Xenopus tropicalis: one gene and its partner. The protein of the gene in region 1 interacts with the protein of each later gene in a biochemical or structural test. Links are inferred from orthologs where the notes say so. Each region holds a gene or a part of one and is shown on either strand. Other genes may lie near its edges.

The links.
Region 2: the proteins of apex1 (region 1) and mutyh form a complex in vitro, tested with the Homo sapiens proteins (3 studies listed by BioGRID and IntAct, with this or other methods). The link is inferred for Xenopus tropicalis from reciprocal best matches to the Homo sapiens genes APEX1 and MUTYH.

Annotation. Positions count from the first base shown.
Region 1 is NC_030677.2:143,029,945-143,034,140, reverse strand, and holds the end of apex1 (DNA-(apurinic or apyrimidinic site) lyase), read right to left. Parts: intron 3,025-4,196; coding exon 2,832-3,024; intron 2,299-2,831; coding exon 1,784-2,298; 3' UTR 682-1,783; downstream 1-681.
Region 2 is NC_030680.2:90,594,131-90,598,721, reverse strand, and holds the start of mutyh (adenine DNA glycosylase), read left to right. Parts: upstream 1-1,549; 5' UTR 1,550-1,649; coding exon 1,650-1,675; intron 1,676-3,161; coding exon 3,162-3,229; intron 3,230-3,317; coding exon 3,318-3,436; intron 3,437-4,032; coding exon 4,033-4,072; intron 4,073-4,591. Other genes in the region: toe1 (target of EGR1 protein 1), read right to left, coding at 57-97, 400-510. UniProt on the Homo sapiens protein: Involved in oxidative DNA damage repair. Initiates repair of A*oxoG to C*G by removing the inappropriately paired adenine base from the DNA backbone. Possesses both adenine and 2-OH-A DNA glycosylase activities.

The DNA of each region.
Region 1 (4,196 bases):
CCGTGAATGACCAATTAAAATCTTGTGCAATGTTGCAGTAAAGTCCTTTCCTAAATTGGGCAATTACCTCATACATTTGCTGGAGGGGGGGCAAAATTGCCTTTTTTGTTTCAAATCTGGTGAAGTTTGCAAGTGCAAAATGATTTTTTGAGGGTGCCACACACAAATTGTAACTATCCACAGTGAATGATCAGAATGCTGTTTGTTTAGGGTGGTCAACAAAGGACCCCCATACACAAAATAAATGAAACTGCCAATCTCCTCTTTCCCTGTATATGCATATTAAGGTACAGGTATAGTCCAGAATGTTCAGGACCTGGGGTTTTCTGGATAAGGGATCTTTCTATAATTTGGATTACCAGATCTTGACTCTGCTAAAAAATCATTAAAAACATAAATTAAACCCAATAGGTTTACTCTTTGGAATTAGTTAGGGAGGAGGTAGCAGAGGATGTTAGATATAGCAAAGTCAATTTAACATTTTGGTAATGACACATCAAAACCTTTACAGAGTTGGACCACAGAGAGTTATGCATGCCCGAATAATCTGTAGGGGAACATAAATGAGTAAGTGGTGGGAAGGAAGGAAAAGTATAAATAAAACAGGAAAGAACAATATAGGAGTGAAAACTGGAAAAATCATAAAGAAAAGAACAAGAAAATGAAAAGAAACACCAGAACAACATTTTCCACTATATTGTATTAATATATTGACCCTTACTTCATCAATCCTTGGTTTAAAAATATGCTTATTTTTGTACATCATTGGCACCCCCAGTTATGCAGCTCTCCTCCCATTATTCCCCATAACCGTTTGGTCACAAAAAGAGGAAGGGGGCAGCATGTGTTATGCAGATTAATAAATTAAATGCAGTGGATTATAAAACTTTTTTTTTAATAAATGACAAAAATATGTAACATCTTACAGTGTCAAAGCACATACAGAACTAGCACCTTTCAGTATTTTCTTTTACAACTGCATTGTTTTGTACAGCTGAGAACCCCACATTTTCTTAGTATCACATGAATGTAGCATATGTGCAGCCCCCACGGCATAGATTTTCAACCTCTTTCCAGTTTTTGCTGAACTTCAATACTCATAGTTGAGCAACAGGTGCGAAGTTAGTCTTACAATCACTCCCTTAAAAGATATCAACTGCAAATTTCACATGTTCTTATGACTGGAATACAAGTTCCTAGATTTCATCACTAGGGGCACTTTTTAAGCACTAACCATTGTGTGACTAGGTAGTTATGCCTTTACATTCTCCAGATCCCACATGTGGGCATAAGGTTGTAATGATGGTTAACACCAAAAAAATCCAGTTTTGTCATATAGAGGGGCTGTGTTGAAGAGATGGTGCTCACTACAGTGTATACAGTTTATATAGCCCTTGTATATGGCTATATAGTCTTTAGGTTGAATGATTAAAAATTCTCTAAGACTACAGGAAACATTGCTTCTAGCTAAATGAGGATTTTGCAATATGCATTTCATATGCTTAACAAAATGAAACCTATCTTGAGTCTATGTGCTATGAAGAAGCAGTGGTCTTCCTTAGTACTAGAAACCTTAATGTCACAGAGCAAATTCTTGTTAAGTTTCAGTTCTCTAGTCTGAAAAGCAATGAATAATAAAATTACAAACAGAAAATGCTGATCCAAGATTCCATTTGTGAAGCAGCAAAAGAATCTCAAATATTTCAGATCTAAGCATTTTATGTATATTACAAAATCCTCTTGCATACAGGATCAGCTTGTAGTTTTCCTTTGATCATTTATTTTATATCGCCATAAGGAGTGTTATTGGACAATGGTCACTGCCCATTATTTTGCTCCTGACCTTGCTATCACATAGAGCTGGGCGTAGTGCTTTAGATAGCACAAAATAATCAAGCCTCCAGCCAACATTTTTAGCCCTAGCATTCATCATATATGTCCAGAATGTGTATGCACTTGGCTTATCAGGGTATAGCTCTCGGAAACTGTCCAGGTAGCCCTCAGCCAGCAGTTCTCCAAAGCCTTGGCGTTCCTGTGGGGTGAAACCCGGTGTCTTCTTGTTTGTCTTGGGGTTCTTTAAGTCAATCTCTTGGTGTGCCACATTCAAGTCACCACACAATATTAAGGGCTTTTTGCTGTCTAATCCCTTCAGGTAGGCACGGAAATCCACATCCCAGCGCTGGCGATAATCTAAACGTACTAGCCCACGGCTCGAATTGGGGACATAAGCAGCAATTAAGAAAAAGGAGTCAAACTCCGCTGTTATTACACGACCTTCCTTATCATGTTCTTCAATTCCTACAGGAGTATACAACACAAAATGTGTTAACTGAGAATAGAGTTAATCTAGAACTTGTCTGCTGTCAAAAATGAAGCATTTTAAAGCAACATTGTTGCCAGAATACAAGGTGTTTACTTTTACCTGAAAAAAATGTCAAATTTTGCATGAAGTAATGTTGTTTTGGAAACAAATATTTATTTTACTGCTTGTAAATTTATTGATCCTTTTTTTCAAATCAGTGTGGAAACTGATTTTCTTATACAAACCTGACTATTTCTCTTTCCTTTTTCGCAAATAACAAAGTTATCTTGTACTATGGCAGGGATTTTAATTAAATGGCTCTGTAATAAAATACAATGGTATTCAACAGAGCTTATGTTATCTGTTATGCATAGTAGTCTTTCTGAAGCCCACAATTTTCAGCGTAGGACAACAGTAAGTTATATTTTAAATTAAAAAAAAAAAGGGCACTCAGGTCTTTGCCTTCTTACAGACTAATATTTACAGACTGAAGAAACCAAAATAGAATTATTTGGATATGAATACTTACCAATGCCATATGTTACATTTAACGGCTTGTCCTTGCAGAGCATGGCCACTCCACTGTACCCCTCCTTTTCATCAGGACATGCCCAGTATTTGTGGGGGTATTCTGGCATATCCTTAATTTCTGGAGGCAGCAATTTCTCTGCACATTTTATTTCCTGGAGACACATGATGTGTGGGTCCTCCTCCCGCACCCACTAAATAATTCAAAAACAAACATTTTTGACCAATTCATCTTGTGGATGGGATGTTTTCTAAAGCATGTAAGCCTAATTTTTGTTTAAAAAACTGCAACAAATTAAGCAAGAATTAAAAAAATAGAACAGTGGTGTATTGTTGGGCACACTAATACCAACACTATATCAATTAAACATGCTTGAAGTGCATTTATTGTGTTATTTGGCAATACTCAAAATAGCATGATAAAGAATGTACAAAATGTAAATATAATAACACTAATATCCCAGAGGAAGCTAATACAGCAAAACATACATCAGTTTGTGGCCAAACTAACAGCATAATAAGGGTGCACGTGAGGATCGTGGTAAATTTAATTTGATGTGAGGTACATGCCATGAAAGTGCAAGTATATGACATCAGTACTTATGATATATAAAGTACAGTCTCATTCCTATGGAGAAATTAGTCCAACAGTTGGGGAGAGAGGTGTGAGAGATTGTTATCTAATTATACAACAAACTGACTGAATATTGTGGTTAAGCAGGTCACAGTGAATATGTTACCTAATTGCTATTTAGGCGCATAGTGGGGAATCCTCGCTAGCCCCTCAACGCGCATAAGGGAATAACATCCATCTTTACAACAGAATGTGAAGTTTGGTGAGAGACTAATGTGCTTTATTGGATGATAACAAGAACTTAAAGAGATACTGACACCAGAAATTAAAACATTTTTTACATCCATAATAACATTATCTTTGCATGCTATCTATAATTTTGCCTTAAAAGTATTTGCCCAATGCTTTTACATTGCCTATCTGAACCCCTATGTTCCTCTATGAGGGGGCGGCCATATTTGTGCAGAAGTAGCCGGTTAGCATTAGAAGCTCTAACTGACAGTCTGAGAAGGGACAGTCAGGTTGGCAAAAGTCAGGTTTAGGAACTTCAAGTAACAATTACTTACAAAAGCAGCCCTATTAGTGAAAAAAGTCAGCATGACACATTCATATTTTGAGGAGTAGTTTTTTAGTGTCAGTATCACTTTAATCACACTGTGAGGTGTGTAGTTTAAGCTAAGCACCTCAATATATGCACAATTAAAATATAATCTCCTCTGAACTGAATGAGTGTGCTACTGGTTGAACTAATAACCATCACCAATAACTATGCTAATTGTGCTGACACAAAAA
Region 2 (4,591 bases), on another chromosome or scaffold:
GCTACGAAAGTTTCCTTATCAACAGGTTCAGCTCCAAGACCAGGCCTGTTACTTACTGGTTTAGCAAATTCTTCCTCTCTCCCAAACCACTTAACTCCTGCAAAGGCACAAAAGGCACAAGTTGGTGCTAACAGTGTGAAAATATATATATAAAGATAACCAGAAACTTAACAGAATAACAGTAGTGCTGCCCAATAAAGGATAAATATGCATACATTTAGATAGGTTTCCTTTTTTCCCTCTATTTCTTATTATTTTTTTCTATTAGGGGCTATACATTACAATTATTTCTATTTCAGTTTTCTGTAACTTTATTTGTTCAAGTCAATATTTCCTTTATATCTCCCTAGTGGAAATATCAATAGTTTCATGTTTAACTGTTTTACTGCTGGCACTTACAGTGTCTACAGCTATAAAAGTGGATGTCTTCAAAGCCAGCAACAAGGAAGGCCAGAGTTCACTGAAGTTCTCATTGTGGATGTCAACCACAGGGATTGTTAAAGAGGTCATGGTCACCTCATCTGTCTGTATGTAAGAAAGGCAAAGAGCATGTCAATCATATTCTGCAAGCAGAAAAATAATCAGGACTTATTTGTATTTTGTTGCATCTTTATATTAAAAAAATAAAACAATATCTTTGTCTGCACTATTTGATTTACATATTTACATTTTTCCAATCTGTTTTGCCTTAGTACAGGTGTCTCAAACTCGCGGCCCTCGGTATAATATTTTGTGGCCCGCACCAACGCCGAATGAATGGCTCGCGATTTTTATTGCGATTCAAGGGATAATGCAAGGCACGGCGGGCGGGAGCTGCTGACTGCGGAAATGACGTTATGCCATCATAACAGTTATTATGGGAAGACGTAAGGAGCTAATTGTGTACACAGAACGTCTTCCCATAATAACTGTTATGATGGCATAATGTCATTTCCGCAATCAGCAGCTCCCGACTTTTTTTTGTGAAATCCCTTATGCGGCCCAGCCTCATTCTGACTTTGCCTCCTGCGGCCCCCAGGTAAATTGAGTTTGAGCCCCCTGCCTTAGTACAAGTTATACTTATAACAAGCACCATTTATATATGCTCCATGAGATCTGCAAGCCAGCACAGACGGTATGAAACTGCATCGCATTCATTTGTCCCTAGCAAGCCTAATTTCTGCAACCTGGATTTGATACTGCAGCTGTATAAGATGCTTTCACCTGGGTTATGTGGAAACAAGCTAATGTGTCCTATCCATTACCCTTCGGTACAGAGTGCGCCAACATTTATATCAGTGTGTAATACACTGGGCACAAATTATTGCTGGAAAGTATTACAAAAAAAAAAAAATAACTCACTTCGATTACGAGTTATTCTGCTCTCAGGAGAAAATGCCACCTTCCCCTCTTCTTCCGGCGCATACAGATGACGTCACTCACGTGTATTCTGTTTTGCCTGTTCTATTTTGCGCGCGGGAAGAGTAGCTTAGAAATGACATTGGCCCAATCTCTGACGTCCCGACCTCCTTTGTTTATTTCTAACCTATCATATCTAAATGAGAAAGAGAGCAGGAAGAGGCCGTGTGTAAGGGCTGGAACGCATTGGGAAGCATGGGAGGTGTGCTGCTGCTGCTGTAGGAAGATTTGCAGGACTTTGGATAAGTAAAATGCCTCCACCCAGAACTAAAACCAGGTATTGGTGGACGTAGCGTTACCTTGGGGCTGCATTGGTCGTGGTTACCTCGAAAGACAATAAACAGCAATTAACAGTTTTCACATAAGACAGATAATACCATAGAGTAGGTAATACAACCTGAAAAAAGTCAGTGGGTCGCCCCCTTACACCAGATCCCCAACTTTTTTTTTTTTTTTTACCTTTAAGCCATATTCAAATGCAGGGCCGGAACTAGGGGTAGGCAAAAGAGGCAGCTGCCTACCCCTAGTGCTACTTTGTCATTGCCTCCGCCGCTTGTCATTAGCGGCGGAGGCAATGACCGATCTAATCACCTGCCCCCCCTGCACAGCCTCCTGTGCTTTGGCGCGCACGCGCCGTTCGGGGGGGCTGGGGAGTTGGCCGAAGTTGGCCGACCAGGTTGCCTAGGGCGCCCGGTTGGCTTGGCCCGCCCCTGTTCAAATGTTAAAGGACATGTAAAGCCTACATTTGCCTACAATGTATATCAGTCTCCCCCACCCAAATGGCACCATTTGTACTGCATATATCCCCCTCTGTTTGCTAGCACCCTCACATTTTCTTATAGCAAATAGCGGCTTTCACCTAGTGGCCATTTTCCCTCTGATACATAATCAAATACATTTAAATTTGCAAACACCATACACACATCAAAAATACAGGCTCACACAGGCACAACTGTCTCTGATAAAAGTTCTGCATTGTTTGAGCTGAGCTCAGGAGATGAGGTTAGGAAAATTGAAACTAGAGCTGAGTTTCTATGGGAACCAGAAATGCCATCTCTTCACTGGCTGCTAGACTGGAGGGCGTGTTTAGTAATCTGAGCTTAGAATAACTGAGCATGCCCACAAGCCAGAAATCAAAGCATTCCTGAGGGAGGGGGCCTAGTGGGTTACAGGAGGAGAAGGAAATCCAAGTGATTAAGGGGATGCTGCAGCCTTACTATTAACCTCTGGACAACCAGTATGGCAGGTATTGAAAGCTTTCAAAGAGGCTGTTGGTTAAGGAATAATTCTAAAGTTATAGTTTTCCTTTTAAATATATTGTACTGTTGCCCTAAACTGGTAAAGATGGTGTGTTTGCTTTAGAAACACTACTCTACTTCTTATAAATAATGTGCTGTGTAGCCATGGGGGCAGCCATTCAAGCTGAAATAGGGCAAAATGGCATAGGTTAAAAAGCAGATATCAGATAAACTGCTCACCTTTATACTTCACCTATCAATGTTACACAAAACATATGTTATTATTATCTCTTACACACTCCCTTCACAGTCAAAGTTAACAGCAGCTCTTCAAAAGAAAATTCTTTTTTTTTTTTTTTTTTTTGCATTCACACATAGTCAGCCAAAACATTAAGGCATTTACAAAGCATTGTATTATGCATGTGTATAAATTTCCCTAGTCTCTCCCATGATATGAATGCTTACTTTATTGTCATTTTCAAATCACATTGCTTTACTGGTGATGTGTCATTTTCTTCAATGCAGCTTGGGTAGATCAGCAGCAGCTAGCGGAAAGAGGAAATCCCCAAAGCAGGCGTTTCCAAAAAGGGAAGGTAGGTTTTATTAGAGAGTGAAAGAAAGTTTATAGTCATAGATAGTTAAATGTTTGTGAAAGCAGCTTGTGTTGGTTTGTTTTTGCAGAACATGTGCTCCAGTCCTCAATTTATCACTCCTTTACATCACAAGAAACTGAGATAATCCGAGATAAACTCCTTGCTTGGTATGACAAGTCCAAAAGAGATTTGCCATGGAGGACAATGGTAAGATATATGCTAAATGGGAGACATAATGATACAGAAGCCCTATCCAACTTTTTTTTTTTTTATAAATATTAATATTATATAACAAATTCTGTAGAGCCCTTTGGCAGTCCTTGATGCCATAAAATTTTCTTCAGTGCATGGGTCTCCCATTTACTAGCTCTGTAATACAGAATTGTTATGGGTATAAGAAGGGCACTTTCTACCTATTTGCATTCTGGATTCATTGTAAATTTAGAGGTAAAAGTGTTTCTACAGTGCCCTGATCTGTACTAGACAAAGACTACTAATTCAGTTCAAAATACTTCATTAATATATATAATATATAATGCTGATGAGACTCCACACAATGAAAAGAAGGGCATCAAACAGATGAACCACCCGTCAGATAAGGCACACAGATCCAAAAAATCTCTTGGGTCCTTCTTTTATGTACCATTACTGTTAGAGTTCTTTCTTGGCAATGAAGACCAAAAATGTGTCTATAAAAGTTTAGCAATTAGTATGGAATGTACAACCTTTAGGCATGGTTCTTATTTTGGTCTTTTATCAACCCCAGAGAAAGCAAAAGTAACTCTATAATTGGTATCTTTCAGGCTTGCACAGAACCTGATTTGGATCGAAAGGCTTATGCGGGTATGCTGAATACTGAAATTTCTCTTAATTTCTTATACACAACACTGTACACCATTGTCATTGTAGAGTCCAAACCAACACTAATAGCCAGAAATAGTAATAGTCTGTATTAGTCTTTTAATAATCATCACAATGTTTGTGTAAAAATATGTTATTAAAATAACTCAGTGCAAACAGAAAACTAAAGTTGACAAAAATATGACTTTATATGAGGAGTATTTTAGAATGAACTTAAATACTTCCTTTCAAAGTATTCACACATTTGTAGGGTTTATTATATGTGAAACCCATGTGCTATTTTTAAGTGGTTAAATAGAATAAAGCTTAGAAAATGTCTTCTTTCTATTTACAATTTCTAACAGTAAAAGGCTGAAACAAGTAAAATTGGTATGAAAGAAATGCACACAAAATCATTTGACTACAATCGCAAACCTCAGTTATGAGAAGAGAAATGTTTGGTTTCCAGACTGTTGAGCTGTCAATCATCTCACCCAGGTTATTTACAGCTCTAGTGAGCAT